Linked DNA regions of Arabidopsis thaliana. The main gene of each other region encodes a partner of the protein of the gene in region 2 in a complex. Each region holds a gene or a part of one and is shown on either strand. Other genes may lie near its edges.

Region 1 (15,968 bases), 3.0 Mb from region 2:
TATATGGGTATATTCCTTTCTTGGTTTTGGAAAGTAGTGTAGTTTTGAACTTTAATGAACTATTAGTAATAGTGGTACATCTTGTTAAAGTACTTCAAGCTTTAGCTAGCTTTCTGTATATGGGTATATATTTCTTTCTCTTACTTAGCTTCATTGAGTTCAGCAACAGTGATCTCTTTCTACTTATAAAATTTTTTAGTCTTAAAGGCCCATCTTGAAAGAATTTGAAACTTTTACAAGAATCCTATCAGTTTTATAACATCTTACTACAAACAATCATAGGCCCATCAGTTTTTCAGTTATCAAAGCAGAGAGGCCCATTTTACAATTATACTAAACGTCATATGATCTCCATTCTTCAGAGAAACAAGTCCAATCTTATCATTTACATGAAATCTAAAACCCGCCACGTGATTCGTCGATTACACAGAACCCATATACCTGAAGAAAAAAGAAAAAAAGAAAAAAAAAAGCGAAATTGTTGTTTGAACGTGTGGTCGAATTTTATCGTGGCGCTGAATTAGCATCCACAAGTGAAGAAAACAGAGAGAGAAAGACAGAGAGATCTCTCTCTCCTTCACACACACAGATACACATGGCCATCGCGAGCGGGTCATGGGTAGCCACTGTGAACCACCATGCTAATCCCCACAGCTTCACTTCTCCGACCAAACCCATTTTCTTTCTTTCTCAAAAGCCTCACAATTTCCATGTCTGCTCGTCTCGATGCTCTATGGTTCTTGAGGAAGATGAAAAGAAGTCACCGAGTCCTAAAGAAGACAAGTGGCCATTTTTTGAACCTGGTCCGAATGACCTTAACCGGGTCTTATCCAGGTTTCTCCGAGACCCGGAAACTCGGAAACTTTCTTCTGAATTCTACGAGAAAGCTAAGGAGAACTCTGAGTTGAGAACGACCAAGCATCTGATAAGTTACTTGGTGAGTTCCAAGAGTTGGGACTTGCTTGTTTCTGTTTGTGAGGATCTCAGGGAACATAAAGCATTGCCTGATGGGCAAACGTGTTCGAATCTGATCAGGAGTTGCATCAGAGATAGGAAATTCCGAATCACACATTGCTTGCTTAGCGTGTTTAGATCAGACAAATCATTGGCGGTATCTGCATCTGATGCAGCGATGAAAGGCTTTAACAAACTCCAGATGTATAGTAGCACCATTCAAGTATTTGATAGGTTGAAACAATCTGTGGGAGTTGAGCCAAGCCCGGGTTGTTATTGCAGGATAATGGAGGCTCATGAGAAGATTGGTGAAAATCACAAGGTGGTTGAGTTGTTCCAAGAGTTTAAGAGTCAGAGGTTGAGTTTCTTGGCCAAGGAATCAGGCTCTATCTACACGATTGTATGCTCGTCCCTTGCAAAATCAGGACGTGCATTCGAAGCTCTAGAGGTTTTGGAGGAGATGAAAGATAAAGGAATTCCGGAGAGTAGTGAATTGTACTCTATGCTGATCCGTGCATTTGCGGAAGCGCGGGAGGTTGTAATAACCGAGAAGCTATTCAAAGAAGCAGGAGGGAAGAAACTGTTAAAGGATCCTGAAATGTGTTTGAAGGTTGTACTCATGTATGTCCGAGAAGGAAATATGGAGACAACTCTAGAGGTTGTGGCGGCGATGAGAAAGGCTGAGTTAAAGGTCACTGATTGCATACTCTGTGCGATTGTGAATGGATTCAGTAAGCAAAGAGGCTTTGCTGAAGCAGTTAAGGTTTATGAATGGGCTATGAAGGAAGAATGTGAGGCTGGGCAAGTGACTTATGCAATAGCCATCAATGCATACTGTCGGCTTGAGAAGTACAATAAGGCTGAGATGTTGTTTGATGAGATGGTGAAGAAGGGGTTTGATAAGTGTGTTGTTGCATACTCAAACATAATGGATATGTATGGGAAAACACGGAGACTAAGCGATGCAGTGAGACTCATGGCTAAGATGAAACAAAGAGGGTGTAAACCCAACATTTGGATTTACAATTCCTTGATTGATATGCATGGAAGGGCTATGGACTTAAGGAGGGCTGAAAAGATATGGAAAGAGATGAAGAGGGCGAAGGTGTTGCCGGACAAGGTGAGTTACACTAGTATGATCAGTGCATATAACAGATCAAAAGAGTTGGAGAGATGTGTGGAGCTTTACCAGGAGTTTAGGATGAACAGAGGAAAGATTGATAGGGCCATGGCAGGAATCATGGTCGGTGTATTCTCCAAAACCAGTAGGATTGATGAGCTAATGAGGCTGTTGCAGGACATGAAAGTTGAAGGAACCAGGCTTGATGCTAGGCTTTATTCCTCAGCTTTGAATGCTCTGCGTGATGCTGGTCTCAATTCCCAGATCAGATGGCTACAGGAAAGCTTTGACGCTGCACAAACTAGTACTTCAAAATATTCGAATACAAAGAACACAGGAACTTTAAGTTGAAAGGGAAAACTGTACAAGCCAAGATTATTTTTCTTGTAATTAAATGTACTATATTGCCAATAGAGATCTGCTATCTTGCAAATAGAAGATTTCCAGCTTAAGTTGTAAAGCCTTAATGAAAGCTTGGAATTTCCAAAATGATACATCAAAAAAAGGAACGGCTAAATTTTCAATACAACCAAAGAAAGACAAAGGAGTAACACAGAGTGGTCACCAAATGTATTTGTCACTCGGAATCATATGAATGGAAATAGTGAGAAGTACTAGAGCGAGCCAGTGAACCCACCTCAATATACTCATAATTATCTGCTTTCGAATCTCATTTGGAAACTGCTTTACCATCTACGGCTTGAGCTGTTTCTACAACTTTTGCATCACCAGAACAACATCCTCCTCCATGGTGATGATGATGACCGTGGGCGTGGTGATGGTTCTGCTTCCCCTTGAGATTCTTCCGCATGTCATAAGCATCCTCCCCATCGGCGTAGTACTTTGCTTCTACATCATTAATCTTGTAGCCTAATGTCTCAGTGTATAGATTGAATGCTGCTCGGTTACTTCTCCTCACATGCAACGAAACATACTCAGCCTCGTAAACCTGCCACAAAACCCCGACCGAGAATGAATTTAAAAAGTCCAAGTTCGAGAGTGAAAACAACTATCAACCTTTGAGGTCTGCTATTATTAGTTTCACAGGCAATCAGAAACTACTCGTCTCCGTCAGTCAAAAGCATAACACGACCGGAGACAAAACTTAATCTCTTTATACAATCTACAGAGCTTAAGTTACTTCAAATTCCAATGACAATTGCAACAATCACTTTGACACACAAAGTTTCTAACTTTCAATAAAATCCTTTAACTTACACCATTATATCAATCTTCAACATAAACTCAAACCACACAAATTCTTCTATATCATCCAATTATTCAACACGAAACTCTATATCAATTCAATGAATCTGCTTAATTGAATGCAAAGATATACGAAATTTGAAGATTAGAGGAGTAACCTGTTCCATGGCAGCTTGAGCGGCGGTCATGAGCTTAGTGGCGAGACCGAGCTTGCGATGGGTACGAAGAACGGCGAGAGAAGTGATGTGGCCGTGGCACTCGTTGCTCTCTTCCTCCATCTTAGCCAAGACATAGCCAACGATGCGACCATTGTAGTCCTCGGCGACGTAGAGAAGCTGAGGCCATGAGAGGATATGGTAGAGGTAGTACTTCATCTGGTAGTTCTCAGGAAGACACATGAGATTGCAGGCTTGCATCGCCAGCAGATCATCCACCGTCGCTCGCCTGATGCAAACCATGGCTGCTCAATTGCTCTCGCGCGGATAAAGAGGGGTTAGGGTTTTCGGTCTAATGCCTTTGGGCTTTATTAATCTGGGGACGAATTGTAATTATAGAGAAATATGAGGTCTTTATTGAAACTTTTGCTTATATTTTAGGGGCATTTAATGAAATTCATTATAAACTTTTTCAGTTTAGGATTTGAGGTCCAATTGGGCCTTGATTGTAATGGAGTAGGAAGATTCCGATAACCTTCACTTTCTATAAGCTTATTTCTCCGCAAATTTTCTTACTATACGAGATGTCAAATAACTCTGTGCCTTGTAAAGATTATGGATTTCAAACTCTCAGCTAGGCATATCTTTTTTATAGGAGAGACAGTCGAGAAATAATCAAAAGAAGAAGGACAAAGAGAGTTGGTGCAGAGATTAGATAACTGAATCTTCTCTTCTTTTTGCAAGTATCCCTCTAAAATTACTTTTAAAACAATCGGATACTTGCTAAAGAGGAAACATTAGTAGCCTTCTCCCATACTTTTCTAGGACTAAACAGAGAACCTTTGTCTTTTGGCTTCAGGTGGAGAATTTGCTAAACTAGACTGATCCCCTCTTTCTGCAGTTTCGCTGCTCGTGTTTGTTGTCACTGAATCGCTTGACGGGCTCTCTCTTTCTCCTTCATTCGTCCTTCTATCATGTGCCTCTCCCGGCAACCTTGGAGAAAACACAAGTAGTAAGAATTTTATAACTCCAGTTAGTGAGTGTTAAGGCATATGCATAACTAACAGAGGAGGAAAAAGACTTATATTTATCTTAAATCAGCTTTCCAATAATGCAACCAATGACAGCAAATAGACTTAAAAGAGCAATACCCTAATTGCAAAGTTGTGTCTGAATCGGTGTTCTGGAGGCTGCATTTACTGTCGTGGTTTATGAGAGCGTTCTTTGGATCTATAGCAAAGCATTTGATGTAGGATGGAACATAGTGGGTGAACGACGGGAGAAAGCTCCTCAGTTCTTGAACCTGTTTCAACAAGTAATTACAAGTCAGAGGAAGAAGCGTTCATTAGGAGATGATTCAACAAAAATAATAAGAACCTGTCTACGCAAGGTCTCGTTTTCCAACTCTGCTCGTTGTTCCTGCAAAGTATATATATGGCTAATCAAGAAACGAATTATACTTTTGCACTCTGTACCTAGTTATATAGGAGTCTTAAGACAAATAAACTGCACACTAGCTAGTTAGAGCATGAGCTTGTCAAAGGATAGCCACTGGTTTTAACAAGGTTCAGAATCATGTGATTACACATAAGCTTACATTTGGAAGCTAGAGAGGAAAAGCTAGTGTTTACCTTGAGGCGTGATTCTTCAAGTTGGTTAGTCAGCAATCGTTCCTGAAATCAGATAACCATAATCAGGACAATGCAAAGAGAAATGATGATGGAAGAGTGATATTACTAGTTACCTTTCGCTCTCTGACAGTAATCAATGCATGATATAGTTGCTGCTCAAGGCTTTGCAGCTCTTTAAAGGTCAGAGGATTCAAGCCCTTGCCCTGCAGTTGTCTACAACAGAACAGAACACACAAAGCCAAACACTAAAAACAAACACAAAGTAGAGAAGAATAAAGTAATGAACAAGCATAGTGAGATTTATTTAGTTTCCATACAAATGTTTCTCTTGAAGCTTTGAAAGTTGATCCTTTAAAATATCCACCTCTGCACAATCCTCCTGGAGGTTCTAAACAGCAATCAGATTTTCAAAAAAACAATTTCAAGATATATGAGACAAGAATGAATGATTCTCACCTCTGCTTTAGAAGCTGAAGAACTCTGGTGATTACCGTATCTGGAAAGTGTTTGCTTCATTCTAAAATCAAATGAGAATTCAAAATTAGGACTCTCTTCAGCTCAATCAGAAAACTTTTAATCTTAACAAACATGCAAAAACAAAAATCAATTACAGTTCCCGAAATCGATTCTAATCACAACAAGACAAGACATGCAAAAACAAAATTGAATCAAAAAGAAATAAGTGTTACCCAGTACTGGAGTACTCGAAGAGCTTGCCAGACTTAGAGAAGACGATGACAGCAACTTCAGCATCACAAAGAACAGAGAGCTCACGAGCTTTCTTAAGTAACCCAGAACGCCTCTTGGAAAAAGTGACTTGTCTGCTATTCGCATTCTCGATCCTCTTTATCTCGATTTTTCCACGACCCATTTTCCCCCAAAATTGAACAGAGAGAAGAAGGTAGAAGGAAGAAGAAGAAGAGGAAAGGTTCAATGTATTCCAAAATGGGTTTAGAAGTGCTTTTTGGGAATCTATTAATGGGAACACAAAAGATTGCTAAATTTGGATGGAATATTTTTGTTTTTATAGAAAAAAGAAAGAAAGGTAAAAACTCGGTAATGAATGTTGTGTGTTGCATGGCCACTGTTTTGCGTGCTCTCTTTTTTCAATTTTAGGGTTTTTTGCATGATACCTTTTTGCCACATTTGGAGGATTTTGTCAGTTCTTCTGGGTCCTACTTTCCCTTTTCTTCCTAAAGTTGTTTTTTTCTTTCCTCTTTTTTCCTTCCCTTTAAAATTAGATTTATTAGTACTAGTGTATTTTCTCTTTAATGTTGTTGTAAGACATAAATCAGACCAACAATGTTGACCGACATAAAAATAAAAAAAAGTTCAGAGCAACAATTAGAAACAATTTCAAAGTACCCCCAAGAATAAAATTGCAACAACTAGCATTGTTTGATGGTTACCATTATGTTATCAACTAGTGAGAGATAAAAAAACATACTGAGAAGTAATTTCTTACAACTAGTGTAGAACGACACTTTAGTAGCAGCTTTGTAACACCGGTTTTTTTTTTTTGACACTCAAATCAATAAATAGATAACGAGATTTTATCAGAGACTAAGAAACAAATTAAGAAAAGAAGCAGACCAAATCTCATGTTGGATATATAGCCTGTGTAAGTAAGTTTCTCAAAAGTGGTTTGGATAGCCTTCTAATTCAGTCCCTTATTTGTTGACCGTGGAACTGACAAAAATGAGATTCAAGCTAAGGGAAGAATATGGTCAAGGATACGACTTTGCCTCGAGAAAAGTAACCAATGATACGTCTTTTCAAACACCATACATGTTCAATAAAACTGTTCACCTTTGGAAATTATTAACAATTCAAATACACTCACTTTCTTCTTTTGGAATCAGAGTAATTTCAAGCTCTCTTCCAATTTTTAAGACAACTCATATGGCCTGCAATGTCGCCTTCCTATATTAATCTGAACCTGTGGATTATATACAACAATGCAAGAAAGGAGTTCCTTCGATTTAGGTGACTAACTATCAAGTAGATATTTTTCTAACTTTTCCTTTTGAACATTTTAGAAACTTGATTCTACAGACAACATTATATAGCTAGCATCGGATGCAACATAGATTACAATTAATTTACACTAGACGACTGTTCCATGCTTCTTCTATGCAGACTTCCCTCCAAACACCCTTATAAAACTGGATCTGAAAGATTCTCTAACTCCTCTCCAGTACGTATAGTTTGACCCATATAACCACAGATTCACTGCTTTTTTCCAACCATCTCTCGGGAACTCAATTTCTCTACCAATCCTGGACTCCTCCCAATCTTCTTCAGTGTCCTCCAAAAGCGGGAGCGCTTCAAAACCACCAGACTCCAGGTGCTTGATCCACCCGCGCATCAGATAGTTCACCACCTGCTCGTTTTCATATCCCAAATGGTGGGTTCATTATACCTAATTGCAGAGTTTGAAGAATTTATTGACTAGTTCATTATACCTCAGGGACTTCATCGTGTGGGCAGTGACCCGCTGGGCTGATCTCGTAGTATGGAGCGTTGGGGATTTCCTTCTTTATCTTCTTTCCCCATAACGGTCTCACCCATGGATCTTCTCTTCCATACATGAGACATATCTGAACATTGTTTTCCTTACACCTAGCATAAACCATCAAATAGCAGCATTCCTCATAAGCAATAACACCAATCACGCAGAGTAAAAAACATATAAAAACAAGAAACCACACTGTCTTATACCTAGATAAAGCTTCGGAGAAAGATAGCTCTCCACCAGGAGCAAGCATGATTGAAGCAAACGATGCTGCAGCAGCCGGATGCTGTGTGACCTCCACAATACGTGAGAATACTTTATCCACATTGATAGAATGGTCTGTGTAGACCTGTTTAAGTATCTCAGCTATGCTTTCAGGATCACTTATCTTTTGCCACCTGCAGTTTCATTGGGAAGTAAAGATATTAGACTGATAGAGATAGAAATAGAAAATGATACTTTTCAGGTGAGGAGATGTGTTAATAAAGTCTCCCTTACACCAATTCTGTGATTTTTTTCACTCTTTCCGGCAGAGGGAATGCTCCGGGCCATGGAAAGAGACGTGCTAGCTTTGGGGATCTTACTGGATTAGGGAAGAAACCCCAGAAAGGTGTTGCATTAAGCAAGGTAACACCCTTAACCAGGTGAGGATGGGTTGCTGCAAAGTAGAGAGCTACATACCCTCCAAGTGAGTTCCCTGCAATGTACACAGGCTCACCGATAACCTGTACAACACAAATACCACATACTCTTACCGACTCAGCAGCTTATTTCAGATGAAAAAGATCGTGATCTCAAACTAGAACACAAACGGAATCAAAGAACAGAGATGAATTCTAATATCTAGTGCATCCTAAACTTTCCCATTCCCAAAGCAACACCAGAAGACTCCATACCCACACTTTCAGGTTCTGAGCTGAAAACTATTGAAATCCATGAGTATACGACACATAGCAACAATCTACACTAAAAAAAAAAAGCTAACACACTGCTTTTGAAATTACGACTAAAAGAACAAAATCAACAGCTTAAAGAGTAATAGAACAACTGAACTCAGATATTGCTAACCTCTTCTACAAAATACTGAACTTGATCCCTCCAGAGATCCAGAGAGAATACAAGTTGATCAGCCCACGGTTCAGTTTTGTCACCAAATCCCCAAAATGGTTCCTTATCTTCCGAGGAACTGGTTTCTTCAGTCATGGTAGTAGGATCTTCAGTAGGGAGAGATAAACCCTGTCCAAGAAAATCAATAGCCCATACTCGATAATCCCTTCCCAAATCGGTAAGCTGCTTCTCATAGTGAAATGAACCAACGCCAAAGCCAGGAAGAAACAACACCGCAGGAGCATCGAGATTGTCACAACCGGCTTTCTCATAATGTACTCTAAGCTTGGGCTTCCACTCGCAGTGAGAATGACTGATTCGAGCAGCAATTTCACCATTTGATTCATCAGGCAAACCAGGAATCAAAACCTTTGACGTTGATTCTCCTCTTCTGGCTATACGACCCAAGTCATCATTCTCACCAACAACATAACCATCGGAATTTCCACTTCGAATCACAAGTCTGGATTTTTTGACCCCTGAGAATAACAAACTTGACCGATTTGGGACCAATCTTTTCGTTGCTAATTTACTACTCCAAGTAACCACAGAGCACTGGGGCACAACGTTCAGTGAGATTATCTCCATAACAAGTTCCTGCAAATGAACAACCAAAAGGCATATCCTTTAATACGAATTTTCCACTCATATATCTCAACTTCATAGCAAAGCTAAGAATAACAAGGAAAATCACATATGAAGCTGGAATCTTTGTATAGTTATCAGAATTTTGCTTCAAAAGCTGAAACCACATACAAAAAGTTGATGAACTTGCGGTAATCTTCTATGAACTCGTCTTATCAAATCCTAATCAAAACAAAGCAAATCAAGGTCAAGCCAATCTTCTATCAAATTGAAACCAAACAACAACAACACCACCCGATTCATCGACAAAGAACTCCAGCTATATAATAAACCCAGGAAGAAAAGAAAGAAAAGAGAGAGTTGCAACTTGTACCTTTTCAAATTCCAGAAGCGAGAAGCTTCATCAAATGGTCTCTCTGAGAGCGTTATTGAGAAATTAAGCGAGGAAAAATCTAAAGGTGAAGAAGAAATAGAAGAATTGGGTTGCTTGCTGGCTTGGTTAACTTCAATCGTTCGGTGCAAACCGACAGCAACGTTTTTATCGAGTTTTTATTTTTTCTTAAAGGATCCAAAATTCATACTGTATTATTAAGTGTAGGGTTATTTTTTTCACAATATGACATTTTGTTTTGGATCTGACATTGCTAATTTGACACCGATGTAACATTGCAAAAACACATGTTTGTTGCAAAAATATGACAGAATAATATTTTTTTTAAAAACAATTGATTTTTGATCTTCTTTTCCATTGTGTAACAATCGGAAAACAAAAAAAACAATCGAAAAACCTGCAGTTTTCATATCAAACAATATAAAACCCGTTTAATTTTTGAATGGTTTAATCACTATTTTAACGGTGTTATTTGAGTTTTCTAGTTGATTTTAAATGTTAGAGAATTGATCTTGTGTGAACTAAAAATCCTAATGGTCGAAGACTAGAAAGCGAAATACACTACTCTTCAATTAGAATACAGACAACTATCTCTAAACCGAGCGTAGAATCAATAGCAATAAACCGACCGTAGAAACTGGTTTCGCTGTAACCATAACCTTTCTTAATAAGACAACCGCGTTTTACCAGTAAACGACTTTTCCTCGCAATTTAATCCCACTTTTGTTATTTTTTCAAATTCGTTTTTCCTCGAAGGAGCATCGAGTAAATATATCATTAAAGAGCCTTTAATAACTTAGACATAATAATTATATCTTTAAAAAAAAAACAGAAAAATTCTTTGCTTTGCAACAAAGGCAGACAGACAAAAGGCTAATTCGGAGCTCTCCTCCACATCTTCTTCCAAAACACAAACAAACCCCCAAATTTCCAGAAAAATCAGATCATTCTTTCATCAATCTCGTCTTCTTTAATCTTAGGTGAGAATTCATCAGCTCAAAAACGCAGCACCCGATCGTTTTACGACTCAAATCAGAGAAGCTGATTCTTTTCCAATCATTCCAATTTCCATTTCTTCCTTGGGAGGTGATCGACGATTATTCAATTTATGTTTTTCAATTTCTCTTTCTGTATTCGTCAATTTGCTTGAATTTGATCCTAGGGTTTTGATTTTGTTGACTATTTTAGGTTTTACACCAAATTAGCCGTCGAAAGGGGTGCTTCTTTGATCTAATTTCGATGGCGGGATTAGAGAAAAACGCTGATTTCTCAGGGAAGACGACGAAATCGGCTACAACGACGTCGTTCTTCAACAGGTCGCTTACAATTCACGGAAGAACAGTGGTGGATTCGGGCCCCAAATCCCACAATCTCAATCCTTCTCTCAATCGTACCACCTCCATTACCAAATTCTACACCCCCGTAGAATCGATGGGAACTTCTCTTAAAGGCAAAGTCAAAAACCTTTGTAGATTATTCGAGACTTCCAAACCCGTTAAACCTGCCTTAGCTGAGATTCCTCAGAAGCAGAAATCCGGTAAATCCCTTTTACCCGAATCGCGGATATCGCCTTTTTCGAGCTTAAACAACTCGGTCATCCGTCTTCCCGGGACAGAGGACAGGATTGTGGTGTATTTTACTAGCTTGAGAGGGATTAGACGGACGTATGAGGATTGCTATGCTGTCAGAATGATATTTAGAGGGTTTCGGGTTTGGATCGATGAGCGCGACGTCTCCATGGATATCGCTTATAGGAAAGAGTTGCAGATTGCAATGGGAGAGAAGTCTGTGTCTTTGCCTCAAGTTTTCATTATGGGCAAGTATGTTGGTGGTGCTGATGTGATCAAGAGTTTGTTTGAGATTGGTGAGCTTGCTAAGATTCTTAAAGAGTTTCCAATGAGACAACCAGGGTTTGTTTGCCATTGCTGTGGGGACATTCGATTTGTTCCGTGTTCCAATTGTAGTGGCAGCAAGAAACTGTTTGATGAGGATGAAGATAGGGTCAAGAGATGTCCTGAATGCAATGAGAATGGATTGATACGTTGTCCTGATTGCTCTTCTTGAGATATATCATCAATGAACCTGAAAAAACCATTAAAAAAAAGAAGAAAAAAGAGGTATTTATTTCTCTTTTGATGTTTCCATTGTTGTGTAGAACAGTGAATGATGCTGCCACAAGTATCCGAAAATCTCTTTTGGATCAGCAGCATTTCACTTTGGGTTTTTTAAGGTTTGCGATCAACGGTAATGGGAATGCCGGTGATCGTGGATTTAGTTTATGTATGTGTTTGCTACTAAGGGCTAAATGTAATTGTGTAATCAAAATGTCTGAAACGGGTAGTAAGCATTTTGACTCTTGTGTGTCAATGTTGTGAAAGACAACTGTGTTCTTATGCTATATATTTGATTGTAAATATTTCGTGTGTTTATGGGCATCTTGTTGATTACGACAGTAATTGGGTGGTTCTACTCGCTTGATCGTCTTTTTATGACAACTTGGTTAGAAGTTTTCTACCGACATAATCCTCCATCGTTCTTGTTCGCTAACTCTCAAGTATGATCAAGGGCTCTCAGAACCAATTTATTGGTTGAGCGTAATTGAATGTTGGTGGTTAAAACATAACATATAAGACAATCATGTATCATTGACAATATTCTAATCTTGATTCCGCAAACATTCATGATTATATCGGTGACAAGTCCATAAGAAAAGGGTCATACTTCATTTTCGCATTTGATAAACTTTTGTTTCCGGCAAAATTACTTATTAGGTGAACTCAACATTTAACCTCTATTTCCGGCAAAATCATTACCTTAAAAGAAACTAATTCATTACTCATTCCAACGGACCAACTAGTCCTTTTGGCTTAGGTTGGAGCCAATCCGATAAGTTTGGAGAAATGACAAAATCAGACGTGGTAAAAGTGAACACTTGCATCACTAGTTACTTGATTTGTTTGAAGAGAGGTGTGACCTATAAGGAAACTATCCAACTCTTTCTAAAATGTCAAAGAGAGTTCTGAGGCTTTCTTAAGAAAATGCATCTATCCTACCTACGTTATTAGGTCCAAGAATAAATATTTGCAATCAGAAGCAAATTTCAATCTTGAAAAGCCCAAGTGTATAAAACGATGAGGCAACCTATCTGAAAACTCAACGTTTAAAAAGCCCAATATTGTTTTTGCCTTATTGTCATCATTATACAGAGAAGTATATGGTTTCTTTAGCTACTTGTTTTCTTATCTTTTGGCACGAGGAAATCCTTTTTACGTTTGAGTTTGCAACTTTCCTTCTTTTATAGTTTTAGTCAGAATTGACGGTTATAGATTGTTTTTCACGCAACGTTTTTTCTTTAATTAAAAGGTTACTTGAACAGTTGAACTACTTCTTACTAGTGGTATCTTCTTCACTCACGCATCCACCCCCCACTTGGACCCACTTAATACATACCTTACTTTATTATTCCGGTTTCCGACCCATTTTCAATCATAAATTCATAATCAAAAAATTTGTCCTATATGGAAAATTTATGTTTCTATCGACCGTGCTTCAAGCAAAAACCAAAGTTTATTTTGTATGATCGTGAATCTGAGAACGGGACGGCTCGATCGACTCTACCGTGTTTTTAGTCGAAAGGGTATAGTATTGAATTATTGATAGCTTTGGATAACCATGTTGTTTTTGCAATGTGACACATTTTGCCTATGTCGTGCTCGTGCTCGTGCATGAGCATGATCGAACGACTATGTGGGTGCTATCAATTCTTAGTCAATTCTGCATAAAACATTATGATTTCATGATTTCATACATTTAGGATGGTGACAATGTACTCAACAACTACTTATGCTGGTTTTGGCCCCAAAAAAACATCGTTTTCTAGTGTTTTGGAAACTCGTTAATTCGACGACCTCGCCCAATACGGATATGTTTGACGCGGCATTCATGTCTTGTCTTAATTGGTATGCTAAATATTATTCCAACCGTTAATATAAATATTTAGAGTTATGATTTGACTAAAAACATTAATTAAAATATGTATATTTCTTTTTTTTTTTTTTTCTTTTTTTTTTTTTTTTTTTTTTTAAAATATGTATATTTCGTAATAGTATTTCAAGTGTTAGTGTGCACTAATTTAAATGATTGATTTTTCTTGTAAGAATATTTCAAACTTTGAAATTAACTCTAGAAATCTTATGTAATGAAAACAAAACGAAAGTATATAGAATCACGATGAGATTAACTGGCTAAAAAGTAATCATCTTTCATACAAATTTGCTATACATTTTTTTAATAAGGACTTCTCTTTTAATGTGTAGGAAAGATGAAATCAAAACACACCTATAGATCTATTTTCCATAACACACAAGATCTGAACACGAAAAACAATTGTTATACCAGATATATACAATAGTGTTTTTTTTTTTGGTTTGAATGATATATACATTTACATATATATAAACACATATATTAACGTATAAAATATTACAGGAAATTTGATTGGAAATGAAGTCCAAGTTGAGTAAGTTTTATTTCAACCACCTCAAGGAATATATACGGCCTTGAAGCATACGTAACCATCTCAAAGGCAGTTTCAAATCAAACGTAGATGTTAGGGTATAATGTAAGATATTGAGATTCTTGTTGGCTAACGGAATATTATATCAATATCGAAATGTTGCCAGGATATGAGAACCATGTGATGATGATATATACGTGATTGCTTTTCTTCAACTTGGTGACAGAGAAAAAAAAAAGTTTAAAGGAGAAATAAAAGAACAAAAGCTGTTCAACCCAACCGAATTAGCTTGCAAACGAGTAAAGAGCAGATCTATGCCTCATCCGCTGAAGCATAATGCATGAAATGCTAGAATCCAACTCTCTTCGGTTTTTGTGCTATTATTTAGGATATTTCTGCCTGCTACACATTCGTTGTCGATATTTGAAAAACATTGGGATCAAAAGACATCTTATATGAATAAAAATATATTTGTTAATTGTTATACATAATTTGATGTTATTTTGACATACTATGACAATACATATGTTATCGTCACCGCAATATTAATTAACTGTTTTCGTCAACAGTGTATAAATGATTCCCATAACATTATTAAACGTTGAATGGTAGGAAGAACAACTTGGTATGTTATATATATAACAGAGATCTCATATTATAAAAGTATGAAAATCATGTGTGCACATAGACTATATCACATCTACATGAAACACAAACACAAACACATGGATTTCTTCTAAACACAACGACATGGATATAAATCCAGTGTTATCGGCGTATTAAAAAAATAAGACAATGTATGAGTGTGACAATCAACCATGTGAAATCTTGTCTTTCTATAAATATACTAGTTTAGAACTTTTTGTTTTATTTTATTTATTTGTTATTTTACTATATCTTAAGATAAGCTTATGCCAACTGACTTTCAAATTAAAATGGAATATTCTCGTTTTGTTAGGTGGTTGGATCTCGTTTTATTTAAATTTTCCTATATCCGTCTTACCGAGTAATTTAACATTTTTTACAACTAAGAATATGCTCTTTTCCGTCCAATTGGGAATATGCTTAACAACACTATCATGGATGATTATCCTAAATGTACAATAAATTTACTACTTAATCTTCATTCATGTTATCATGTTAATATACTATTGAAGGATTCCATTGTAAACTATTTCATGGATGATAATCCTAAAGTGTCTTTGGCTTCCCCAGTCAATATTAAACAAATTCAACGCAAACTTTTTAATAACAGTAAATAAACTTACCCAACATTAATATTTGACCAATAAAAAGTCATAAATAAAGCTTTGAAAATATTAATGGGGAAGAATTCAATAGTTTTCGAAACATCTTAAACCTTACTCTACCTAATAACTAGACTTAAAAGCAAAGAATCGAATTAAACGAACCACCCCACTCTTCTGCTAATAGGCAAAAACAAATTCCAGGTGTAAAAGCACGTCAGCAAGAGAAAACACGTGGACCAATGATGTAAAAACGTGCACGGAACAGTAAAAGAAGGGATACCACGCGGTATCACAGCCTCATAATATTCCCTTCAAAATGGGAATATTATAATTATTATCCAATCCCGAAATTAACTCTCTTTTTTTTGGTTCTGACAATGACAAACAAAATAGGTTTCGTGTAGTAAGAGTATCCTCCACGTGTCATTAAAAACAAAAAAAATGGTTCGAAGAGTGACTGGCTCTACCCGGTAAATCCACTATCCTTGAACTGCCACATCCGGTCGCGTGGTTATTATTTATTTTATTTCCTCTACTT
Region 2 (15,849 bases):
TCTTGAGTTTGAATGTCGCTGAGAAGTTTAGCAAGATCAGCTCTTCCAACTTCTGGATTTAGAAACAGAGATTCCATTTCGCGCACCTGTCATCAAAGGGCTCAATCTTTAACAACACAAGGTTGAACAACACTGTGAAGGTGTAATCAAATACTCTCAGATAAGATCCATACTTGTTTCGAACATTCACTGAACTCCGTTGTAATCTCGCTGCACAGCTTCTGATAAAGTGCTTCAGCACCAGACTCCACATACTCTGAGAATCCACTGATAATTGAATTCGAAAACATAGTCAGCTCAGATTAATAGAGGAAGATCTCAGTAACAAAAACATGGAAATCTACGAATATAAAAAACATCTCCCTCTCTATCCTTCACACTATTTGCCTCAATTTCAACATTCACCAACAAAGTCTAACTCTCAGGCAATGGATCAATTGGAACTTAACAAAACCGCAACAAATAAACTAACTCTTTGAGAGATTTCCAATGAATCAATCGAACCTTTTGAGATTGGCGTAAGCCTGAGCTCGGCGCTGCTGAATCTCCAACAGACTCCGAAGCAGGACCAGGGTTTGAGAGGCGACGCCGGAGCCCACCGTCGAACTAGTAGACCCGACACCGGAACCGCCGCATTCGTTCTCAATATCGCCGGAGAGGGAATCTCTGAGGGAAACCTTCTTCTGGAAATCTTCGGCACTCATCGTCCGATCTTTCTCTCCGACTCTTTTCGTCTTCTCAAACACGACAGAGAGAGAGAGACGAAGAAGCAAAGAGAAAGTTGCGAACTAACCGGTTTAGTCGATTTTACTAAATTGAACCGTAATTTGATTTTAATCGCTTTGATATCAAGTCCGGTTGAGGCGGTTCTTCGGTTTTACCCGGTTTGATTGGTTTGGAATGACATTTTTGCTGCTTGTTAAATTGTAAACTAGACCACAGGCATTTGGATCCCAGTCTCGACAAATCTGGTCTGATTCTCAAAATAGTGCCTATAAATTATTATGGTTGGAAAAAAAAAACTGACTTTTAAATCATCACTTCAATCATTAACTGAGAAATCTCACATTTTTGCAAATGAGCTTAAATCCAAATTGTACAATAGATTGCATGTTTTGGAGTTGTCATGAACAAAATGTAGAGGTTTTTATTTACCATTGAACAAACTGAGAAAGCAATACAATTCTAATACTTAGTTTGACACCTACTCTTCAGTAACATACCTGTTCTTCCTTGCTCCCAACGCAACTCTCTGAAACAAATTCCCAAAATTTGACAAAGAAAAAAACAAATTGGTTAAGTAATTTGCAGAAATAGTTTACATGCTTTGATTTACTTCTACGCAGAGCTATTAATCGTCTTAACTGAGAATATTTTGGTGTAGGCTTTGATTCCAGTTAGGAAACGGATGTAAGTCGGCTTCATAGATCCGCTAGCCGGTATTGCCCTTATGTTTGGGACAAGGTACTCAGCCACCTGCAAACGAATGTGTGATCATGAATCATGGGGCTAGAGATTAGAGATCGTGTCAAATTGTTGTGCTAAAAAGAATTAAGAGTTAATGGGTTCTTACCACTTCGGCTGGCTCTGCCAAAACATTAATGAAGAACTTGGCCTGCAATAGAGAACGTATTAGAGAGAATCTCTTGAAATGGAATCTAAATATTTCCTCAGTGTTAAGTCATCGAACTTGTTTTGTAGTTGCTCCGGACATGAGCAGATCAGTTGTGACCATTCCAGGCTGCAACAATAATCCAGAGAAAACACATTAGAATTATGATCATGTTTAGATCCTGAATTCATTCAAATTGTTCAAATAACTATAATCCATCCATTCTATTCATCTCTATGCGCATGTCTGTATCAGTGTATTTAGGAAGACACTAAAAACAACCAAAAATGAAATGAAGCAATATATTGTATTCATACCGATAGATTATGCACCACGACATTTTTGACATCTTGCATCTGCAACTCTGCCTATGAAAGACAGGAATTACTAGAGAAGTCATATAAGGAGAAGGGAAAACGAAGAAGAGTTCAACAGATATAACTCTGGCATTACCTGTAATGACTTTGTCAGGTGAACGACACTCCGTTTAGTTGCACCATATGCAGCAAATCTGTCAAACGTTAATCAAAAAAATGCTATTAGACAGTACAGAGAAGAGAGCCTAAAGGAGATTTACTAAAGCATGTTCCCAAGAAACTTTAATGAATCTAGCAAACCTGGGTGTTGGTCTCCCATCTGAACCAGCTCCATCAATATTGAAGATATGACCACCTCGAGATTGGGTCAACATCATATTCATTGCCTAATAATCATGAACACATGTCAGTAAATCCAACTGATAATAACAAAAGACACGCTGAATTCATCTCCTTATAACATCTTTGACTACCTCTCGGCAACATAACATGAGACCTAGAGTGTTGGTTTTCACAACTTCACTGCATAAAGATTTCAAAAAGTAAATGACTGAAACCAATCACATAGAAACTAACGAAGAGAAGGATCAAGCTTAACACAAGACTTACATAAGATCCTCATCTGAGGCCTCTGCCAAAGGTTTAAAGCTATATGCATTAGATCCCGCATTATTTATCTGTATCATCTCAAGATGGTATTATAAGACTATTTCTATGGTTACAAAATTGAAAAGAAAACATAGTAAAATACTCTGAACAACATTAACACAGATGTCACCAACAAATGAACGTTCTTCATAGTTTTGAGAGTGTACCCAAATGTCAATGTATTTAAGATTCTTCTGACTATAAGCTACAAGTTCCCTCACATCCTTCCCTTCCGTAACATCACACTTAGTTCCCTACTAAGAGAAAATGGTTTCATGATATCAATGCACATAAAGCAAAAACCTTGGAAGACCACACGAATGGAAAAGAACAGTAAAAGAAGGCGGTACCCACACATGCTCCCCAAATTCTTCCTTAAGACTCTGAACAGCAGTCTCAACTCGTTCAGCTGCAAGACAGGAACAGCCATAACAGCAAAATTCTACTGAAGATTGGTTCTATTACTTGCTTGCATGTTTCCTTACAGACACACAAACTCTAGAAAAGGAGTTCAAGACAACAATGGGGACAGGTTCTAACCTGATCTAGAGCAAATCACAACATTGTCGCCTGCTTTCAGAAACTCTCTAGCTAATGCATATCCTATACCTGAACAATCAATAAATCAAAAACCACTCTTTAGAGACACAATGAGATAAAAAAATATGTTTTTTCCCTTCTGAAGATTAAAAACTCGAGTCAATTGACAAAGACAGAGTGAATGAAACCTTTGGTTGAGCCAGTGATCAATATGTTATACGGAGGCGTCATAGGTTCTCTTTTCCCTGAGATACGAGCTTCCACCGCCGCAGACGACGGAGTAACCGTGAGGTTTTGGCGCGTAACAACGACAGTTGCGAGACCAAAGCGTTCTGCCAGTAACCGACGCCGGCAAATAGGAGAGAGAAACGGAAGCTTAGTGACATTTGAGACGGAGGAAGACCGAAGCCTAAGCAACGGAGAAGAAGAGACGTTGAAACCACTCCAAGTAGCCATTACAGAAGCTCAAAGAGAGAGAGAGAGAGAGTTGCGTAAGCGAGCAAGCTCAGAGAGAGTTAAATGCCACGTGGCGGCATATAAGATGATAATAACCCCAATTATTGTTCAAAATACATCATAGCCCCTAAAGTTTCTAGATTTTATGTTTATAACCCTACACTATTGTTCTGCCCCAAAAACGACACTATAGTTACATAGTGACTACTGAAGTATAATTTCTCTATCTGCTTTGGTTGGTATTTGAGATCGTCCAAAGCACAGTTACACAAACCAAATCTGTCTGCGAAAAAACCTACAGAGATTCAATTACTTGCCCTTGGATCGCCTGCGCCGTCCTCCAAGGAGTTTAAGCATGTTATCAGTAACATCAGGTGGAGAATCTGCATCCTCATTGTGTTGGCCAGTACTATTATCAGAGGTATGAGTCAACCAAGCTAAGGCCTCAACAGCAGCATCTTTCTCAGCGAGCGTTTTATTCCTCTGAGGCTTCCCAACGAACTGCATTCCTTTAAACTCCACAAGTGCTCTGAATTCGTTTGTCTTGAGATGTTTTGTCTTGTACTTTGGAGGTGAGTGTCCAGCTCTCATCAAAAGTGTCTGAAGGAGACTCTTCGGGTTTGTCCCGTCTTTGGAGTGTTTGTTCTCTCCTATTTGCGGTTGGCTTGGCCTCTTTGTGTCACGGCCAAAGACAAATCTGCCTTCGCATTGGTCTCCAGCCACAAGTTCTTGAACTGCAAGCATGAGGTACTTGCCTTCTTTGTGGATGTCCATGCTTGGATCTTCAAGCTGCAAATCGTAAAGATACTAAAGGTGTTAAAGTGCTGCACTACGAACACTTTTTCCTTTTAAAATTGAAAAAAACTCGCCTTTTTTTGAAGAAGCTTATCGAGTTCTTCCTTCAGCTTTACATAGGACTCAGCCAAATTTGGATCCATGAAGAAATCAATGTACCCGTCAAGCATTTTTAGATGTCCCACCTGGAAACAACACAACATTCAATCCATTCGATTCCGGAGTATTCCATAATCTGACTAGTGTAAGGGTTAAAAAGAGGAAAATGAGAGAAATCACCTGTACTCCCGTGCTCAATGAACCACCAAAAAGGATCAAACTGGAATCAGGGACACCAGTGGAGTCCCGTATGAGTACCGCATTGACCTTTACTTTCTCTCCAAAGACTAGCCAAGGGTATGGAATTGTTGGGAACCGCGAATTAACAGAATTCTGAAACATAGAAACCGTAAAAACCATTTAAATAAAAAAGATGGCCATATCGAGAGACTCAAGTAATGATGTTGGGAAATACGAATGAAGAGGCTCACCGCGTATAGTGATACTTGGCCATCATCCATTGTCTTGAATGACATGGAAGTCTCTCTGTGCTGTGCAAAGAAAAAGGACAACAAGGTTATTTCACCGAAATCTCTGACACGAGAAAGGAGACTTAGCCAGAGACATGGGTCTTAGACTTACCACAACAGATGCTATTCCAGGGAATAGGCCAGAGCAAATGACAGCACGAACCAGAGACTGGTTGTGACTTAGCTTGTTGTTGAGAGCTAAATCATCATGAACTAAGCCAGCTTCTTTCAAAATATAGTTGAACTGCTTCCTCAGAGAATGTATCGCCTGAAGCGTCTGAGCTGACAGGAAATTCCTCCAACAAAACTCATAAGCCGATCCTTCTCTTTCAGCATCTTTCCACCCTTCAAAGGCACGAACGAGTGCCATATGGTCACTGTAGTCTTTGGCTGAGAATCTCAACTTGGCTGATAAAGCTAACTAAAATAAAACAAGGAAATCATCTCTCAGTTTGAGAGATTAAACCACAACATACTTCATAAAAAGTTATATATCCATCTATCTATTGGCTTAAAACCGCCTATAAAAACCCACTCTTCAATAAAATTCAAAAGACCAAAAAGTAAGTTTTAAAAACATTTATTTGCCAATTAATCAACCAATCACCGTACATCATGATAAAAATAAATGTTCGTCCATGAGTCCTTATACTTACGTCTTTTTTGTCTTGAGGTAGAAGGAAAGGATCTCTGACACTTAGCCCTGATACAATTGTCAGGATCGGATCAAAGCAGCGGAAGATGGCACCCATTATCAGCATTTTCCCCAACTTGGGATCAACAGGAAGAATCGATAAGAGTTTTCCTAGTTGGAACAGGCCAAAAATACAACAAGCAGGAAAGTCAGTCATGATACATGTAGTATAAGAAAGAGTTGGACCATTTTTTGTACAGGACTTAGAACACAAACCAAGATCCGTTAGATTTTCCTTCTCATCCAGTGCTCCGATCATTTTCAGGAATCCAATAGCATTTTGAACCTGTCATGATATTTACAGTTATGTTGACTAATTTTGAGACAATAAGAATCATATCTTCCACATACAAAAAAATCTGATAATCAATCAAAGATGTTACTAGTAACATGGAAATTGGCGAAATCTCTATGAACACATTTATCTGTCACTTACAGCCAAAGACTCTGGAGCCTGAAGTGCAGCTGACAAGAATTCTGCAATGCTTTCAACCTGAAGACTTTTAATTTGCAGGCAGAGAGAGTTTAAAGGAGTTCTCAGAAGTTCAGGAAGTTGATACTCTGCAAAAGCATCATAGACGCATTTGGGGTACAGGTGATAGCATTCTCCCGGAAACAGACGCCCAGCTCTTCCCCTTCTCTGAAGGCCAAATAGAGGGGAAATGTTGGACATACCAAATGAGAAAGCTTTATAGCTATCAAAAGATGTACCAGATAGCAAAATGGATGTTCTGAAATTGCAACAATGATAATCATGCAATCAAATCATATAGAGGAGTCAATGTTCTGAAATCAAAAATAAGAACGATGCAAAACACAAGAAAGATCTATTTACAACAATAGGTTTTAGTATAATGTATTCACCTGTCTCGCAGAAGCTTGAGATATCCAAGAAGGTAGCAGACAAGGTGTATTGTTCAAAGCATCATAGGTGGTCTCTTTTGCTTTTCCACAGTCAACCACAAACACTACATCGTTTATTGTAATACTAGCTTCTGCCATGTTTGTAGCAAGAACAATTTTGCGAATATTAGGAGGTGCTCTCTCAAAAATGAGTCTCTGCGTAAACATCAACGAAATATGTTAAATAAGTTACAATTAGTACTTCTCCAGAGTCGTGACTCAAATTGAAAGGAAACAAAGTAACACGTGAGGATATAAATCAACCTGCTCAGCAGTTGCCATTGAACCGTGGCACATTAATAGCAAAACCCTGTTCGGATCTCCCAAGAGAGGATGGGCTTTAATTTGGTCGCTCAGGGATCTGATATCATCCCATCCTGTCAAAAATACTAATACAGCACCTGGACGTTCTTTTCGGCATATGTGACAGAGAACAGCCTCAATGAGATTAAATCCTATGCAGTCAGGCATCCAAGACGAAAGAGAATCACGTGTCCTAGAGTTATAGCTTTCAAAATTTGACTTGCTGAGAGCTTCCTGCAATTTTAAAGAAACAATGGTGAACAATGTTATTGGAATATTTGGTCTGCTCAGCAAACCTAGTTGACCAACAGAAACACAGTTAGTTAAACTTGCAAATTAGAGTTAATTCTAAGGAATTTCCAGTTGATGTAAAAAATTAGCCAAGTACCTCAACAAGAGTAGTGATCTGGTTTTTTCTTTTGCGAGGCATTAACTGTTTTTGCGTTTTCCACGTCTTTTCTTGGCCATAATCATCAACTTGATTAAAAGAGGTCAGCTTATATCCCGTTATTTCCAGTACATCCTCCAAAAAATGTGCTTTCACTGGATGTGTGAAGCCCTGAAAATATATATACATTCAAGGCTTCCCATAGAAACAACTCGAAACACGGAAATCATGCTGAATATCTAGAGTGTCAAGACTATTGAGGAAGAACATTGTCTTACAGGAATGTGAATGGTAGGTGCCCCTCCATAGTAATTAGAAAAGAGTTCAGCATTCAAAGTGGCACTCATGAGAACCAATCTCAGATCTGGACGCCGTGGAAGAAGCTCCTTTAACACTATAATTAAGAAATCTGCAACCAAGAAGTGAGGGGCATATTATTATGAGACTCTATTTGCAGAAACCTAAACATACATTAGATATATAGATATGTACCTTCATTCATGCCCCTTTCATGAATCTCATCAACAAAAACATGTGTAACTCCATTCAAATTGCGATCACTAAGCAGCCGTCTGAGAAGGATACCACTTGTACAAAATAGAAGGTGGGTATTCTTTCCTCTCATTCCTTCTAGACGAACTTTAAACCCAACCTATCGGAAATTCTCTGTTAGGTATGAAGTCATGAATAAACAAGCATCTTTTAACAAAGTATTAGTGTTAATTGGAGTAATCAGACAGCTTTTGAATCGATGCTCAATTGAAGGACAAGGATTTTGGCTAACCGTTTCACCAAGAGGTTCTCCTCTTTCAGCTGACACTCTTTCTGAAACTGCCATGGCAGATATTCTCCTAGGTTGAGTACAAATGATGTTGCAGAATGCTCCCCGACCAGACTCTATCTCTGATTCCAAAATGTATTGTGGAAGCTGAGTTGTCTTACCACATCCAGTCTCCCCAGATACAACTATCACCTGAGAATTTGAGAGTTGAGATCAAAAAATTAATTTCCATGCATTGCTGCATTGCGAAGATATCCCGCTCTAAAATTCACCTGGTTCCGAGCAATAGCTTGAAGAAGTCTTTCTTTGTCCTTGAATGAAGGCAAAGTTTTCCTGAATTCCAGCATCGTCCGTCCCTCAGGGGATTCCTATTATTCAACCAAATAACTACTGCTATAGCAGAAAGTTTTTGATAAAAAGACAAGAGGCGTGGGGTAAAGATGATTGAGTAATACCTGCCAGGTTCTCTGCATATTGCGCATCCGCATACTCCTCCTCTGAAGTACCTTCTCCATAACAGAACCATCGAGAAACGAATCAGAATTTTCATCGGGAAGTTCTTCAGTCTGTTTAGGAGGTTGAGAATCAGCTACGCATTCATTAGCCTTTCCTGAGCTTAGCTGCTGACTATCAAGATGTTCCTGGAGGAGTCCCTCTACCCTTCTTTGCAAACTCAACGGAAGCACCACCTGCACGATGAGATGCATTACAATTTCAGCATAAAACTACAAATAAAAACTGTGCATTATGATTTTGGTAAACCAAGGGAGACACTGTTACCTCCCGTTGTGGTCGCTTATCATCCAAATCTGGTCGGTAGTTAGGAAGAGGAACCTTGCTTGCAACAACCACTTTTCCATAAATTTCACTGTTAAATTGGAACCAAGAATTGGGTTAGCACATAGCGCACACAAACACATAGGGTTATTTGATTCCAATAAAAGTCAGTTTTCTATACCTGTAAAGTCCCATTCTCTTAGCAAGATTTGAGATCTGCTCATAATCTCTTCGATCCCTTTTGTCTCTGGAAACAATTTCTTGTTCACTATCATTGGCCAACAAAATTCCTAACTTCCACTTCCACTCATCAACATTGGCCACAGAAGATGAAGCCTATAAAACCAATTCACGCCTAGGATCAAATCATTTCCCAAGTATAAAGGATCAAACAGAAAATGTTCAAAGACTCTCATTTACATAGTCATTCCACCAAACAATCTAATCGACAAACACCTAAAAATTCCATTTTGAGAAACTTTTTACTCTGGAGATCAACACAAATGTTGATTGATTGATTCCATTTATCTAAACAATTTAGCATCATGAACAAAACACGAACCTTATGTTCCTCGAATTCACACTCGTACTCATCATCCGAGAACTGTTCCGCAGTGTGCCCGATGAAACGACGACGTATCGGGTAGTACAATCCCGTAACACCATCACCATTACGACTCGAAATCAGAAACGCCGGAGAACTAGTAGAGACCGGACCAACGATATAAGACCTGCATAAAGTCGGATTTCCCAATAGAGAGCGACTATGAATCCTGGTCGTCTGCCCCAAGAAGAGGCTTATTCTTTTTGTGAAACGCATTCTAGAAAACGAAATGAGCGAAGAGGCATGGTTCTCAACCTCGCCGCCTTCACCGTTCACTTCTCGTTCTCCGGTAAAGGAAGTTACTTTCTGCTTCTCTCAGTTCCCAATTCAACTGGGTTCTCTCCTATACACAGATTTTTGGTCAGACAAGATCGATTGAACTAAAAGCTTTCAGGTCTCTCTGTCTTCAAATCTAAAAGGGTTTAGGGTTTATGGATATTTTTTCATTTGTTTCATATGTTTATTGAGTTTTTTTTTTTTAAATCCTGTCTCAATAAAACTATGATATATAGGTCTTAAATATGACATCATCAAACTTTATTAGACTGTAGAAATATATCACAAAGTATATAATATACACATTCTTCAATTTGCACAACATTTTTCTTTCTTAGAGATATATCATTCTGGTTTGGTAGAAGATGATGATGAAGAAGGAGACGAAGAGGAAGAAGAAGAAGAAGAAGAGCAGAAGGTATAAGAAACATAAGCTCCGAGAGCAAAGATAACAAGAGCAGCCACTCCTACATTCATCATCAACTTCTTCTCTTCACTTGTTATCTCTTTCCTTCTTATTTTCTCCATTATCCCTTTCCCCATTTTCTTTTCCTTTTCCACCAAGTTTCCTAGTTTTTCTTCCGCTGACTTCACCACCTCGCCTACTCCTCCAAACCCGGACTTGAGACCAGACCCCGACTCAGGTTTGGGAGTAGCCACGTGCCCGGATTTTGTATAGACCACTTCTGGCTTTAGTATCTTCTCTTTTTCTCCAGATTCATCAACAGACTTTCTCTCCTGGATCTTCTTTAGTTTAGCTTCTTCCGCAAGCTTCATATCCTCGAGCTTCCTCTCCTCAAGTCTCCTTTCCTCGAGCTTTCTCTCCTCAAGTTTCTCTTTTGCTTCAATTTCTTCTTGAAGCTTCTTTGCCGCGGCCTCCTCCTTTGCTTTAGCTTCTTCTTGAAGCTTCCTCATTTCAGCCTCTTCCTTTGCTTTAGCTTCTTCTTGCAGCTTCCTAATTAGCGCCTCTTTCTCTTCCAGAAGCTGCTTCTTCATCTGCTTAGCTTCTTCTTCTTCCTTCTCTTTCCTTCTAGATTCTTCTAACAATCTCTTCTCCTCTAGCTTCGCCGCCTTCTCCAGAGCAGCAGCTTCAGTTCTAGAAGTTTCTGGAAGATAAGCCACCTTCGTGATCGTCTCCTTAGGCATGGTGATGGTGAGGACATTGTTCTTAAAGCTCCCATGGATCTTATCCACTAAACAATTCTGTGGAACAGTGAACACCTCGTTGAAACGGCTCCATTTCCGATTAGCCAAGGGACGTTCTCCAGTGACTCTTATCATCTTCGAGCTGTGCACATACGTCACTTTCATTTGCTCCTTTGCAAAACCTTTAAAAACCAAATCATAACATTATAATTAAACCACCATAAGTAGTCCAAAGTTACTATTTTGTATACCAACCTGTTAGGTCAATGTTGAGAATGGTGGCTTCAGGTTGATCTTTCCATTCGGATTTGGGGACAAAGTCCTCGTATTGAACCCCGAAGCCTGTTCCTTTTTGTTGCTGTCTCGCTGCCATTATTAATTACTTATCTTTCCTCTTTCTTATGAACTGGTTAAATTTGAGCTTTGATGATACTATTAGGTGTTTATTGCTCTGCATATAAATAAGATTTGAATTTCTGCAATACTTAGCCATTTTCTCTACTGTTATGCAATGGATATTCCTAGTTTTGCGGCTATGTCTTGTGATCATCAAAATCTCTTCTTTTGTCTCAGGTCATCATTCATATGTTACTTCTCTTACAAAGAAAGCATAATGTTCTCTTGCTTTCTTCACAAGTTTATTATGTCTTGTAAGTTATGTTCCCCAAATGACGTCAGTTTTAATCAGTTGAGAAGATGTATCATTTTTTCTGAGAAGTTATGTGACTTAATTTCAAGAATGGTGATTTCAAGAAGAGAATTTGTCTATTAGAATTTTCAAGAACCTAAATAGAAGAACGTTCTGGTGTGAATATCCAATAATGTTTCAGGTTGCAATAACTCTGAACATAACACGACACAGATTCAGGGTCTCTTTTGCTAGGCTAACAAGAACTCACTTGATCAGATCAGATAATCGAAAGAATCTATCTACTCCAAGCTTTTGTAACTTTTCATCTTCTCAAAGTCGGCTTAAGCTACACACACAAAAAAAGTTACCAGAAGAAATGTCAGATTCTCACCAATTTCTGTAAAGAAATCAAAACGGAAGTTGAAACTGGTGATGATACCTTGGGAAGATAAACAGACACAATGTAGCAGAAACAAGGACTGTGTATAAGCAGGGCTTTGTGTTAGTAGCAGAAGCTGAGGTTGACCTGTTAGCAACCAAAACTTAGGGGTTAAGAATCTTAATCTTGTGTCAGAGAATACTGCAACAGATGAAACAGGAAGCTGTGTGAAGTATTTTACCTAGCAACAATGCTCGCAACAGACTCAGTTTCAAGACCAGACCCGTAAGCAAATAGCGGGTCATAATGTGTATCTCCATAGCTCATAGGCAACTGCTCTGTGTTTCTGAACCATGTAACAGGAAGTTTTCCACTGAAGCCATGGTCCCCAAAGAGAGCATCAGTGATACCTTGGCCTTCTGTTCCTGGTAGCCATGCTGCAACCAATGCATCGATCGAGGCAACGTAAGGTTCCATCACAAGTGGTCTACCTGAAATGACCACAACCACACACTTGACAGCCTGACAAGTGGAGCTAATAATCGCTGGACCGGGGTCAAGCATAGTTAGCTTGTCGCTGTCTCCAGCTGTTTCTGCATATGGAGGTTCACCAACAGCAATGATTGCATAAGCAAAGTTGTTCGATTTGATGAATTCAGCATCCGGGTTCTCGCGGAAGACAACTTCAGTGCTTTGATCAACAGCTGATTTTACAGCGCTAAGAAGTGTAGTCCCTGAATCAGAAGAAAGGGTACAGTCTATTAACAGTCACAAGATATTTGTTACAACTTACAAAGCATAAACAGTCACAGACAAGATGATAGAACTTGTATAATCTGCAATAAGAGTTGCAGAACGTACCTCTCGTGTTCTTATTACCGCTAAATCCTTGCCAAGTTATGGTCCAACCACCACACTGATAACCTAAATTATCAGCGTGAGTGCCAGCGACTAGGATCTTTGAAGTCTTCCTGGGAAGTGGGAGCATAGGATTGGTTTTGTTCCCGTTCTTCAGTAGCACAAGGGATTTTCTAACAGCCTCCCTTGCCAAGTCTCTATGTGCCTAATATAAATTGAGAACATTCCATCAAGACTTTGTAGTACTTGCAACAGATTCTAGCTCAGGGTTATTAGGCAACTGACCTGGCTTCCTAGTTCACTGGAAAAGCTGTAATCAGCCAAAGGGTTCTCAAAAAGACCCATGGTGAACTTGACAAGCAGGATTCTTCTGACAGCATCATCAATCCGAGTGACAGGAATTGAATTATTCTTCACCAAGGTTGTAAGATCATTGACAAACTCGGTAAAGTTGAAGGGGACCATGACCTGCATATTATTTCATTAGCTAACACAAACATGAGTAACAATTTCCTATTTCAGTCCAGGAATGTCTGTGAAGTATGAAACACTAACCATATCAATTCCAGCTTGAATTGCAGCTCGGACGGAAGCTGTGTAGTGCGTATGCGGTGGTGTGGAAATCTTATCGACACCTTGCCAATCCGAGATAACAAAACCCTGCACACATCATAGAGATGATAAGTTGGAATTAACATTCAAAATCAACTCCTTCATCTAAGAACTCACACATGCTATATATATGTTCTATTCAAGAATCTACAAAATACATGGAGAAAGAGAAATATTCATTCAGAAAGACTACTGCCAGAACACAGAGAATGTGCGTTGAAGTTGTGATAAGTAAGCAGACCTTAAACTTAAGGGTACCCTTAAGATACCCTGTGATCAGCTCAGTATTTGCATGCATCTTCTCACCATTCCAGCTCGAATATGAAACCATCACTGTGGAAACACCTTTGTAAACTGCATCAGCATAAGCGGGCATGTGAACGCTAAGAAGACCGTGTAAATCAGTCACAGTGTTGTTCTCGTTTACTCCGCGGGTTGTCCCACCATCTCCCACGTAATGCTTGGCACAGGCTGCAACTTTATCCCTATCAAAATAACACGCATGAAAGACCGAACATACTTTTGTAAGGCTATCATAACCGAACCAAATTAACAAAAGCCTTACCTGCCACCAACGAATGGAACTCCGTGCTTATAGTTGGAAGGAGGCTCTCCTTGTAAACCAAGTATGACATCCGTCATGTCTTCCACGACTTTGTGATCCTCGCTGTAGCTCTCATAACATCTACCCCATCTGGGATCTCTACAAACCTACAAAAAGCGAGTGGGTAACAACTTTAACAAATGTCCAAAGTACCAATGATATGAAGAGTGCCAGGTATATAAAAGTTAGGCAGACGGTGAGAAAATTTACTGCAATGCAAGGAGCAAATGTGTATGGGATTCCAGTGGCTCTGACTTCGACTGCAGTTGCTGCTCCAATCCTCTTAACAAGATCAGGATCCCTGTGAAACTCAAATCTATCATCAGAAGAAATATAGACAGCATTCACAGAAACAGAGATGGGAAACATGCAAGATCGAATAAACGTTTTAGCTAATACTTGCCTAGTGGCTCCAAGACCAACATTGTGAGGGAAAATAGTAGCGTTATAGACATTGTTATGCCCGTGAACGGCATCAATGCCATATATCATAGGAATTCCCAAACGACTAACTAGAGCCCCCTTTTGGTACTCATTTATCATATCAACCCAATTCTGAGCACTTGCCTCAGGAAGTGGAGCGCTCCCACCACCACTCAATACACTGCCTGTACAGAACAAACAGACAACTTCAATTTTCAAGTTTCACAAATACAGATACTCAATACCAAGTCAAGTTACGCAGCTTATCTAGTTCTTTATTAACAAGATGATGAGAAACTGAAGTTCAATGAAAGCAAAAACTGAATGATATCCTCATTTCACCTAACAACACCAGTAGCACCGACCAGTTTTCTAAGGAAACCATACAAGATGCCCAAAATAAGGTTTAAATGAACCAATTAAACTAGCCAAGCAAGTAAGTAATCAGATTTCTGGAAATCTCCAAGAAAGATTGTTCTTTTACATACCGATGAAGTAATCTCTCATAATGTTGACAGTGGCAACACTTCTATCAATCTGCACCATCTGGCCAATCTTCTCTTCCAAAGTCATTCTACCAAACAAATCCGCAACTCGATCTGACACCGTCTGTTTCGGGTCCTTGTACAACAGATACTCTCCATCCCCATAACAACAAACCCACATACACATCCATAGAAGAACCCCAACGATTCTTACTGAATCTCTGCTCATCTTCGTAACAGGGGAAACTCTGGCAAAACAACAAAGACGGAAGAAACTCAAGATAAGAAAGACTTGTCACTTGTCAGCTTAAAAAAGAAACCCCCAAAATTGTGAAACCTTGGTGCTTATCAGCAGCCAACCAAGAAAACAAAAAAGCAACTTCGTTATTCATCAGTGACAAGAAAGAAGAAAAAAAGCAAAAATAAAAGCAAGCTTTTTAAGATTTACTGTTCGAATTTCAACAAAAGATTGAATAAGCACACGAATCCGTAAGAAGTACTTTCTCATTTTCTTATTTTCCAAACGAATCATTATAAAGCTACTAGCCTCATACAAGAAACCAAGAACCAAGCTAGCCAAGAAAACAAGAAATAAGAAGAAGCATACATTGGGGGTAAGGAAAAAGGCAAGATTCAACAGTAGAGAATGGAGGAAGAAAGAAGAACTTACATGTGAGAGTTAGGCAGAGCAAGACCAGAAAATATCTGATTCTTCTTCGCTGAGAATTTTTATATGAGAAAATAAAGAGTAGTTAATAAACGCTTTTAAGCAGATTTGAGAAAGAGAGAGAGAGTGTTAAAAGACGTTGATGCGGTTTTGTGTTGTTTTTATTGGGACGTGGGGTTGGCTCACGTTTTTCCACAAAACATCTGTACCAGTCTACACTGCATAATGATGCATAACGACGAACAAAGCGGCGTCGTTTTAGTTTTTTAAAAAAGTTTCTTTCTTTTTTGACTTCTTACTTTTTTTTATTACTGAAAAGTATCGTACTTGCTTTAACGTACCTTGGACACGTGTCAGTAGGCGGGAGAATCGGATTCCTCG

The links.
Region 1: NOL (region 2) and PPH share a complex: the UniProt entries of both Arabidopsis thaliana proteins name them as parts of the SGR1-CCE-LHCII complex.

The regions. Positions count from the first base shown.
Region 1 is NC_003076.8:4,444,866-4,460,833, forward strand, and holds PPH (pheophytinase), read right to left. Parts: upstream 9,844-15,968; 5' UTR 9,647-9,843; intron 9,496-9,646; 5' UTR 9,443-9,495; coding exon 9,383-9,442; intron 9,286-9,382; coding exon 8,650-9,285; intron 8,307-8,649; coding exon 8,080-8,306; intron 7,980-8,079; coding exon 7,788-7,979; intron 7,689-7,787; coding exon 7,532-7,688; coding exon of another isoform or gene 7,526-7,531; exon of another isoform or gene 7,450-7,525; coding exon 7,198-7,449; 3' UTR 6,870-7,197; downstream 1-6,869. Other genes in the region: AT5G13770 (Pentatricopeptide repeat (PPR-like) superfamily protein), read left to right, coding at 596-2,425; AT5G13780 (Acyl-CoA N-acyltransferases (NAT) superfamily protein), read right to left, coding at 2,745-3,023, 3,439-3,738; AGL15 (AGAMOUS-like 15), read right to left, coding at 4,263-4,428, 4,587-4,738, 4,813-4,854, 5,067-5,108, 5,180-5,279, 5,384-5,454, 5,523-5,583, 5,756-5,937; AT5G13810 (Glutaredoxin family protein), read left to right, coding at 10,904-11,728. UniProt on the Arabidopsis thaliana protein: Alpha/beta hydrolase dephytylating specifically the Mg-free chlorophyll pigment (pheophytin), yielding pheophorbide. No activity on chlorophyll. Belongs to the chlorophyll catabolic enzymes (CCEs).
Region 2 is NC_003076.8:1,422,550-1,438,398, reverse strand, and holds NOL (NYC1-like protein), read right to left. Parts: upstream 3,626-15,849; 5' UTR 3,574-3,625; coding exon 3,306-3,573; intron 3,187-3,305; coding exon 3,118-3,186; intron 2,987-3,117; coding exon 2,928-2,986; intron 2,832-2,927; coding exon 2,745-2,831; intron 2,607-2,744; coding exon 2,539-2,606; intron 2,452-2,538; coding exon 2,403-2,451; intron 2,316-2,402; coding exon 2,230-2,315; intron 2,124-2,229; coding exon 2,066-2,123; intron 1,981-2,065; coding exon 1,930-1,980; intron 1,742-1,929; coding exon 1,691-1,741; intron 1,616-1,690; coding exon 1,574-1,615; intron 1,477-1,573; coding exon 1,366-1,476; intron 1,253-1,365; coding exon 1,205-1,252; 3' UTR 904-1,204; downstream 1-903. Other genes in the region: AT5G04910 (DNA repair REX1-B protein), read right to left, coding at 1-86, 174-267, 505-704; ABO6 (DEA(D/H)-box RNA helicase family protein), read right to left, coding at 3,883-4,362, 4,443-4,553, 4,648-4,800, 4,899-4,958, 5,050-5,358, 5,594-5,742, 5,848-5,917, 6,068-6,271 and 11 more; RTM2 (HSP20-like chaperones superfamily protein), read right to left, coding at 10,009-10,991, 11,065-11,182; AT5G04885 (Glycosyl hydrolase family protein), read right to left, coding at 11,771-11,786, 11,880-11,966, 12,061-12,553, 12,681-12,882, 12,963-13,145, 13,233-13,337, 13,531-13,774, 13,855-14,000 and 4 more. UniProt on the Arabidopsis thaliana protein: Required for chlorophyll b degradation. Chlorophyll b, chlorophyllide b, pheophorbide b and pheophytin b can be used as substrates. Belongs to the chlorophyll catabolic enzymes (CCEs).